Drosophila melanogaster: one gene and its partner. The protein of the gene in region 1 interacts with the protein of each later gene in a pairwise test. Each region holds a gene or a part of one and is shown in the gene's direction. Other genes may lie near its edges.

Region 1 (4,817 bases):
GGCAGCGTGCGCCCAAAGATCATGATGTGTGGGATGAATTGTCAGCACTCACCATTATCCGCGTTCCTTTCAAGGAAGTCAGTCACGAAAGCACAGAATCTGCAATGACATAGGAAAGAGATGGATCATTACATGAATTGGTAATATCTTGGATTGAATAACAAATTAGAATTTCTTTTCATTTCATTCCAAAAACAAAGCAAAATTAAAATAATGCATATTGCAAAACCACATTTATGCGAGCATTAAAACGATCCAACTAACGATATTAATAATATTATTAATATTGTAATTATTAGGAACATTGCCTACAATATAGTTCTTATAATAAGAAGATGAAGACTTATCCAAACCATGTTCCAAAATTACAACATTTTCGAACCAGAGCTAATAAATTTTCCTATTAATAGTTGCTTAAATTCATAATTACCTTTGGGCTAGCTTATGCGAGGGTGTCTGTTTTCCGGGGATCATCAGCTTCTGGTGGAGCACATCGTGGTTGGTTATGGCACTTGGGTGGTAGTATCGATTCGTGTTGGTCAAATCGATGATGAGACCCATATCGGGTACGATCTGCAGAAGGGATTCGGGCGCCAGCCGAAGATTCTCCTTCACTTTGGCGTTGACATGCTGCAAAAGATAAAAAAAAAGAAGGGAGCTGAGCAAATATACGAGGGCATTACAATGGGCGGCCATAGATTGCTCAATTTATGCAAAATGCCCGGAGGGCTGGCAATTAATAAAGGCCGTGGATCCGTGGCGTTATTTAATTAAGCAAAAACAATTTAATTTAATATTCATGTGGGGTCCATGTTCCAGTTGCCACTTTTATGCATAATTACAATGCACAAATTTCGTCGTCGTTCGTTGTTATTTATATTTTTAGAGGGCCGCTCAGTCGGTGGTCCAGATCCTGGGTTTTCAACATCCATCAATTGGCGGCTCTCCTGTCAACCGGTTTCTTGGATCTCGGATGGAGTGTGGTACGCCACTGGGCGGGCGGAGGATCATCGGGAACTCACCTGATTCAGCGGCACCTTAAAGGCTATGAAACGAGTGCCAGGAACACGATCTCCAATCGGTTTGTACTTCAGCCATCTGCAATTGGTACAAAAAGTAACATGAAAAAATGACCAGCATAAACAACACGGGTTTCTTTGGGATATTCTCCTAAACTGCACTCACCTGTCTGGTATGTCCTTGACCATTTTGTCTGTTCGCCAAACCTTTTACCGAAATTTAAAAATAAAATTTCGAAGTTCTTCAAAATTGTTGACAATGTTTTGCAAAGAAATAATTCTTATTCCAGTGTTGCCAGATTACTTTAAGAGATTACTCAACATATGCTGCTGAGTTGACACTGTTAGCTAAACTGTGACTGGTCACGATTATTTTTAAAACTCTCGCTCATTCGCTCTTTAACTGAAGTAATAACATTTATAATCTATATTTAATGTTTCTATTTAATAATAAATGTAATTTTTTTAATACTTCATTCTTCATTAAGCTCTTTTACAAATTTATGACTAGTAATATTAATCGGCTTGCATATTTTTTTAAATGGATAATAAAATTAAATTAAATAAGTCCATTAATCAATAATTCCAAGATTATATTTTATATATGTTCATTTTTTCACTTAAGTTCCTGCTGCTTAAAGTTCACATAGATCTGTTGCTCCATCTGTTAAGTAACAGCTGTTGTGTATTGGCTAGGAGGTACCAAAAAACGGCAAACGCTTAAATCAGCGGAAACCTTTGGACTTTCTGTGATTTTACAGCGAAGGTAAGAGTTTTAATTAAATATTAATGGACTTAAATTAATCAAACAACAATTTTCCCTCGCGTGGATAGCTCCAATAACCATCCAACATCCAAAATGTTCGCCAGCAACACGCGTAATCTTATGCGCAGCAGCATTGTGAGTGGAAATTTCTTAAAAAGATAAAAAAAAAGCGCAGGCGGTGATCGCTAAAAATTAAATAACAAAATATCAATTTTCCCACTTGCAGTTGCAGCGATGCAAGAGCACTTTGGTGGTGGCTGAGCACAACAATGAGGTACTCAATCCGATCACCCTGAACACCATCTCTGCGGCCAAGAAGATCGGTGGTGACGTCACAGTTCTGGTGGCAGGCACAAAATGCGGACCCGTAAGTCCCCCAAGAAGTCTCACATTAGGGTGGTTCCATTCGCAGGGATTTCGAATCATCAACGAATCTAATCAAATAGGCTGAACATGCATCCTAAGACCTTTGCGATCTGGTAGAAATCAAACCGGCACAGGATTATATAAACATATCTCATTAGAAAACAAGACTTTTGAGTTGTTGGTAATACTGCATCTAAGAGATAGGAATTGTTAACCTTGATTATATACTTCTGACTATAAGTACACTTTAAAAAGGGTCCAATCTATTTTCCACTTAACTCTTGCTACATTCCAGTTTTCCAATTTTCATACTAGATTAAAACTAACTAAAAATTTAGAAAAAAATGTTTTGATTTTGGATTGGTGAACCCTTACTTAGATACAATATATAGTAACCATATTTCAAAAATGCCGAGCAAAGTGATTTCAATAGATGACCATTTTAAAATACCAAGACATTTAAATTATAAAGCATCGAACCACCCAAGAGCGACTCCCACTGATCATAAGTATTTGGTGCGATAGATAATCTTACATAATCACTCTCTTGTTTTCCAGGCTTCCGAGGCTCTTTCCAAGGTGGATGGCGTGACCAAGGTTCTGGTGGCCGAAAATGCCGCCTTCAACGGATTTACCGCGGAGTCGCTGACCCCATTGGTCCTGGCCGCCCAGTCTCAGTTCAAGTTCACCCACATCCTGGCCGGAGCTTCGGCTTTCGGCAAAAACGTGCTGCCACGCGTGGCGGCCAAGCTGGATGTGTCGCCCATTTCGGAGATCATCGATGTTAAGTCGGACGACACCTTTGTGCGCACTATCTACGCCGGAAATGCTATCCTCACCCTGAAATCCAAGGACGCCGTTAAGGTGATCACCGTAAGGAGCACCAATTTCCCACCGGCAGCCACCAGCGGTGGAAGTGGAGCCGTGGAGCAGGCACCAGCTGGTGACTTCGCCAGCAGCCTGTCCGAATTTGTATCCCAGGAGCTGACCAAGTCCGATCGCCCCGAGCTGGCCGGAGCCAAGGTTATTGTGTCCGGAGGACGGGGCCTGAAGTCCGGAGATAACTTCAAGCTGCTGTATGATCTGGCCGATAAGTTTGGTGCCGCTGTGGGTGCCTCTCGTGCTGCCGTGGATGCTGGATTTGTGCCCAATGATCTGCAGATCGGTCAGACCGGCAAGATTGTGGCTCCCGAGCTGTACATCGCTGTCGGAATCTCAGGCGCCATCCAGCACTTGGCTGGCATGAAGGACTCCAAGACGATTGTGGCCATCAACAAGGATCCCGAAGCGCCCATCTTCCAGGTCGCCGATATTGGCATCGTGGCAGATCTTTTCAAGGCCGTGCCCGAACTAACCGGAAAGTTGTAAGGCGAGATTGTCACTTGCTGTAGTATAAAGATTGTGTACCGATGAATTGATAACTGTTGCATTTATTTGAATTTTGACATAAGTCCGTGGAAGATTTTCCCTTAAATTTTGTAATAAAACAAGCCGAAGACCTATTCTATGTGAAAATTGTAGTCTTATCAGTTGAGTGCAACTGTTTAAATCAGCAAAATATTTAAAAAAGGCCCAGGGCTAGCAATAACCAAAATTCAACTAGGATAAACTGTTTACTGGCATTGCAGATTGCACCTAGTCTAGGATTTGGTTTCCTTATCAGTTTCCCATCGTATATTTATTTTTCAAGAAGCTTTTATGAGAGCTTTATTAATTAAATTAGTTATACTAGAAAGCTGATCAAGCCAAAACAAATTGTAGCTAAAAGCATCAAAAAGCTTTCTCGCCAATTGCGAACTTTTTTAAAAAGTGTGAAAATGTGAAAACTGTGTACAAAAAAAGATTATAGATCAAATCAATAGGATTTTTACGCTTAATAAACAAAATGTTTAGGAATTCGTAAATCGTTGGTATATTTTTGGTACAATCAAGTTAAATATAAATCGCAGAATCATAAAAACTAGAATTAGGCCAAAAACTACGCCTATAACCAAAGTGGTCCACTCTAAAGGATTCAGGCTGTTGGTAGTGGGTAAAACGTGTGTGTTGATGCCACTCTAAAATGGAAAATCATTGAAATGAAACCTCGACAATTATGAAATGATCGGAGAAACTCACCCAACCACCATTCTCGTTAATCCACGGAACCAGCTCATCTTCGATCACCTCGGAAACGCTCTCCATCAACTTGGGCAAGTATTCCGGATGTCCTTGGCGTACACAATCAACGGACAGCCCACCGGCGATGGCGAACAGAGAGATCACCTTGCTCCACGTAATCTCCACCCGGAAGAGCTCGCGACCAACGGCTCCCAAAAGCAAGCTCACAGCATCCGGAGTATGGAACTCACCACCCGGATTCCGGCAAATCTGACGAGCTACTCCGTTGTATATCCGGGGATGCATGCGCTCCAGTTCATCGCCCAGCTTGGGCAAAGGTGTGTAAAATGATTAATATAATAAAATAAAGCGTTATTTTTTGCTTACCACTTGGACCGCTGGAAACACATCGCGCACAATGCCCATGGAGGTGGAGCCCAGTATGCTACGTATGCGCTGCAGTCCCAGCTTTTTGTTGAACAAACCAGATCTTCTGAGGCGTCTCTTGATATAATGACCGCACAGGCAACGACCCTTCGGTTTTTTTATGATTTTTGGAATCAGGC
Region 2 (3,868 bases), on another chromosome or scaffold:
CCATGCCGAAAAGCAAGAGATCTCCGTGGGTTCCATAAACCTGGTGGATTTGGCCGGCTCTGAGTCTCCCAAGACGAGCACCCGGATGACCGAGACAAAGAACATCAATCGCTCGCTATCGGAGCTCACCAACGTAATCCTGGCGCTGCTGCAGAAGCAGGACCACATCCCGTACAGGAACTCCAAGCTGACGCACCTGCTGATGCCCTCGCTGGGCGGCAACTCGAAAACGCTTATGTTCATCAACGTCTCGCCGTTCCAAGACTGTTTCCAAGAGTCCGTCAAGTCGCTGCGCTTCGCGGCCTCCGTAAACTCCTGCAAAATGACCAAGGCCAAGCGGAATCGCTACCTGAACAACTCGGTGGCCAACAGCAGCACACAGAGCAACAACAGCGGCAGTTTCGATAAATAAAGAATGCATTCTGAGCCCAGTTTTAACAATTTTCAAATTTCTAACCTGTTATTGCTTAATTTATGTGTGTTTACTTTTAGTGCAAATAAACTAATAAAGTGCTGGAATTCAAAGCTATCTCACTTGGCTCCCACTGCTGCCCGCACCTCGGCGGGAATCTTTTCCACCAGCGCGGCATGGTCCTGTCCCAGGCTGGCCAGCACTCCCTGTCGATTCACGTGCTCCACATCCGCATTGTAGGCGTAGTGCTCGCCGTTGATGTTGGTGAGGCAGCCGCCCTGGGCCTCTAGAACGGCCTCGGGTGCGCAGGTGTCCCACTTCTTGCAGCCCGGCGTGGCGAAGACGTACGCGTGGGCCTTTCCCTCCAGCAGCTGGAGCACTTTGAACCCAGCGCCTCCGACTTTCAGAACTTCTGTGGATGCGAATGCGTTGAGGGCTTGCTGATGCAGGGCATTGGAATGCGAGCGAGTGGTGGTTATGATGAACTGGCCGGCTGGCGCGGGGACTGCCGTGAATCCTCCCGTGCCCAGACCCTTCAGGCCCCAAATGGTGCGACCCATTTCGCCATCGGGCTGTTGGTAGAATGGCTGATGAATGATGCCGCCCACAGCAGCATCCTTCACGGCTATGCCGATCAGGACGGTCACGTGTTCAACGTGTCCTGCGGATGAAAGGAGAACATTTAGTTTTATATAAGGAGCTCTACAGGTATCTCCAGATCGCACCCTGTGTATACTCCGCTGTGCCGTCTAGGGGATCTACCCATATGACAAAGTCCTCGGGCTTGACATCCTTCCACTCAGCGGGGCAACTGTGCTGCAGGAATTCCTCATCCAACTCGTTCACCAGCCAGTCGTCGCAGACATTCAGATCGGATCCACCCTCCTCGCCAATGATCTTGACGGTGGGGAACTTTTTGGCCAAGGAGGCGATAATGCAACGCTGGGCAGAGCGATCTGCCTCCGTCTGCGGATCGTTCTTGCCCTTGTCCACTATGCCCAGGTCACCCTTCTTGAGCACGTCGCGTATGATGCCGCCAGCCCGCTTGGCGGTGCTGATCGAGGACGCCATGACGCGCATAATTACCGGAGCAGTTGCAGCCATCGTTATTTTATTTGTATGGGACAAGGATGCGGGAGATCTTTTCAAGATTGGAATGAGATGTTTTCGTCGCTGCAGAGAAGTGATTGCGGTGAAAGTAGAACAGCTGTTGGCGGCTAGAGAGGAGCGAAAAGCACAAAGTTTAGCTACTCCCCCGTAAATAGTTGAATTCGTAATTCATCAACTCCACAGTTTCAGAAATTATGTTTCCTAGTTTTGCTTAAAGTTGTTAGTCCTTTAAGATACATGAATTTAAAAATGTATTTCAGCGGGAATATTTGGACATTTTATAGCTGCAAATAATCGGCTGCTCTGTCTGGCAACGCTGTAGCCGGAGAAGACCTTTGGACCACCCGCGCCCCCGCCGCCAACAAATCAGTTCATTTCCATCTTGAAGAGGTAAGTTCTTGAAACTCAGTAAATTTCCGTAAATTTCATCAATTTTATAACTAATTTGGCAGAAAATGGCGCGTGTTTTGGTTGGAGTTAAGCGTGTGATCGACTACGCCGTCAAGGTGAGCCTGAAAAGTCGCCTGTTGCGCATCTTGTCCCATTGTCTTTTTATCACTTGTTGCGCTCTGTTTTGCGTAATCGCCTTAATTAAGCGGCAATTAAACTAATTCAGGTTACATTTATCATGTCCAGGTGCGCGTCAAGCCCGACAAGACTGGCGTGGTCACCCAGGGCGTGAAGCACTCGATGAATCCCTTCGACGAGATCGCCGTGGAGGAGGCGGTGAAGCTGAAGGAGAAAAAGCTGGCCGAGGAGGTGATCGCCGTCTCCGTGGGCCCGGCCCAGTCGCAGGAGGTGATCCGCACCGCCCTGGCCATGGGCGCCGATCGCGGCGTCCACGTAGAGATCCCGGCCGCCGAGTACGAGCTTCTGCAGCCCATCCACGTGTCGAAGATTCTGGCCAAGTTGGCTCTTGACGAAAAAGCCGACCTGGTCATCCTTGGCAAGCAGGCCATCGACGATGATGCCAACCAAACGGCCCAGATGACCGCCGCCGTGCTCGACTGGCCGCAGGGCACCTTCTGCAACAAGATCGAGAAGACAGACGCCGGTCTGACCATCACGCGTGAAATTGATGGTGGCCTGGAGACAATCAAGACCAAGACCCCGGCTGTGCTGAGCGCCGATCTCCGGCTGAACACCCCTCGCTACGCCACGTTGCCGAACATCATGAAGGCCAAGAAGAAGCCGCTGAAGAAGGTTACGGCCAAGGATCTCGGCGTGGACACCTCGCCCCGCATCGAGGTCATCTCCGTGGAGGATCCTCCTGTGCGCCAGGCCGGCGCCACCGTCGCCGACGTGGATGCCCTGGTGGCCAAGCTAAAGGAGGGCGGCCACATCTAGATGTTCCTCAACTAGAAAATTGTGAGCGCATATTCTACGTTTTTAATTAGTCGAAAGTTATCAGAAACGTGCATTTATCTAGCCGGAGAGTCGGATTTGCTGACAGGCTTTAAATTTCTCTGAATTCAACCCATACCCGTGTGCTTTAAGTGAACTATAAATTGGAATTTATTCTCGTTGTGTCCAGCTCTAAGAATAAAGTGATTGTAAGCTCTGAAATCGTACGATCAGGGTCAGCCAATGGCTGGACTCGTCTATTTTTCCGTCTCCGCGTGCTACCTTTTCGGGAAATGCCGCTCAACTTGGCGCCCAAAAGAGGCGACAGGGTCAACAGCAAACAGCCAATGGTCATTGATTTCTCATTGTTTTCAATCGGATTTATTAGCGGTTAACTTGAAAGGAGAACATTTGCTAATGTGCATTATATAAGAGTACAAATGGCATAGAAATAGTATATATTGTTCATAAAACACTCGACTACAGGCTAAAATCGTTTGTTTTCGTTTTGGACGACCATGACACACAGGCTTATACTATAAAGATATCTATGTGTATAAAATTGTAAAAAGGTCTTGTCTGTAAATGGTCTAAGGTAGATATAGATAAGGGTGGGCCGACATTCCTGATCGAGAATCAAAGAGGCGCAAGTTGTTCTATGATAAGGTTTAGTAGAGAATTTAAAATTTTGAGATCGTCTTTGTTCAGTTGGCAAGTTAAAATTGTCAAAAAATTTTGGCCGGAGTAAAAACCTCTTAGATTTCTAAGTTAAATCGATCTACTCTACCCACCCCAAAAAATATAAATACAGACGAGTAAATGCGACATTAATAAATGTCAATCGAAAGATACTTTGTGCCTAAATAAAATAAAACGGGCAGTGGCACCAATCTCGTCGAGCAATTGGGCAGGTTAAAAAAGTGTTGTATAAAAAATATGCTGCAAGGCCGATAGCCCATGAGGTTCTAACTTAATTGCGACTTGGTTTATCACACACCTCGC

The links.
Region 2: the proteins of wal (region 1) and Etfb interact in a two-hybrid assay, tested with the Drosophila melanogaster proteins (2 studies listed by BioGRID).

The regions. Positions count from the first base shown.
Region 1 is NT_033778.4:11,687,781-11,692,597, reverse strand, and holds wal (walrus), read left to right. Parts: upstream 1-1,734; 5' UTR 1,735-1,785; intron 1,786-1,853; 5' UTR 1,854-1,878; coding exon 1,879-1,920; intron 1,921-2,011; coding exon 2,012-2,152; intron 2,153-2,709; coding exon 2,710-3,519; 3' UTR 3,520-4,029; downstream 4,030-4,817. Other genes in the region: CG13197 (uncharacterized protein), read right to left, coding at 53-99, 431-630, 1,023-1,098, 1,186-1,208; buffy, read right to left, coding at 4,041-4,208, 4,270-4,578, 4,639-4,785.
Region 2 is NT_033777.3:29,800,950-29,804,817, reverse strand, and holds Etfb (electron transfer flavoprotein beta subunit), read left to right. Parts: upstream 1-1,973; 5' UTR 1,974-1,977; coding exon 1,978-2,028; intron 2,029-2,158; coding exon 2,159-2,869; 3' UTR 2,870-3,219; downstream 3,220-3,868. Other genes in the region: ncd (non-claret disjunctional), read left to right, coding at 1-412; CG7789 (uncharacterized protein), read right to left, coding at 532-1,073, 1,138-1,516.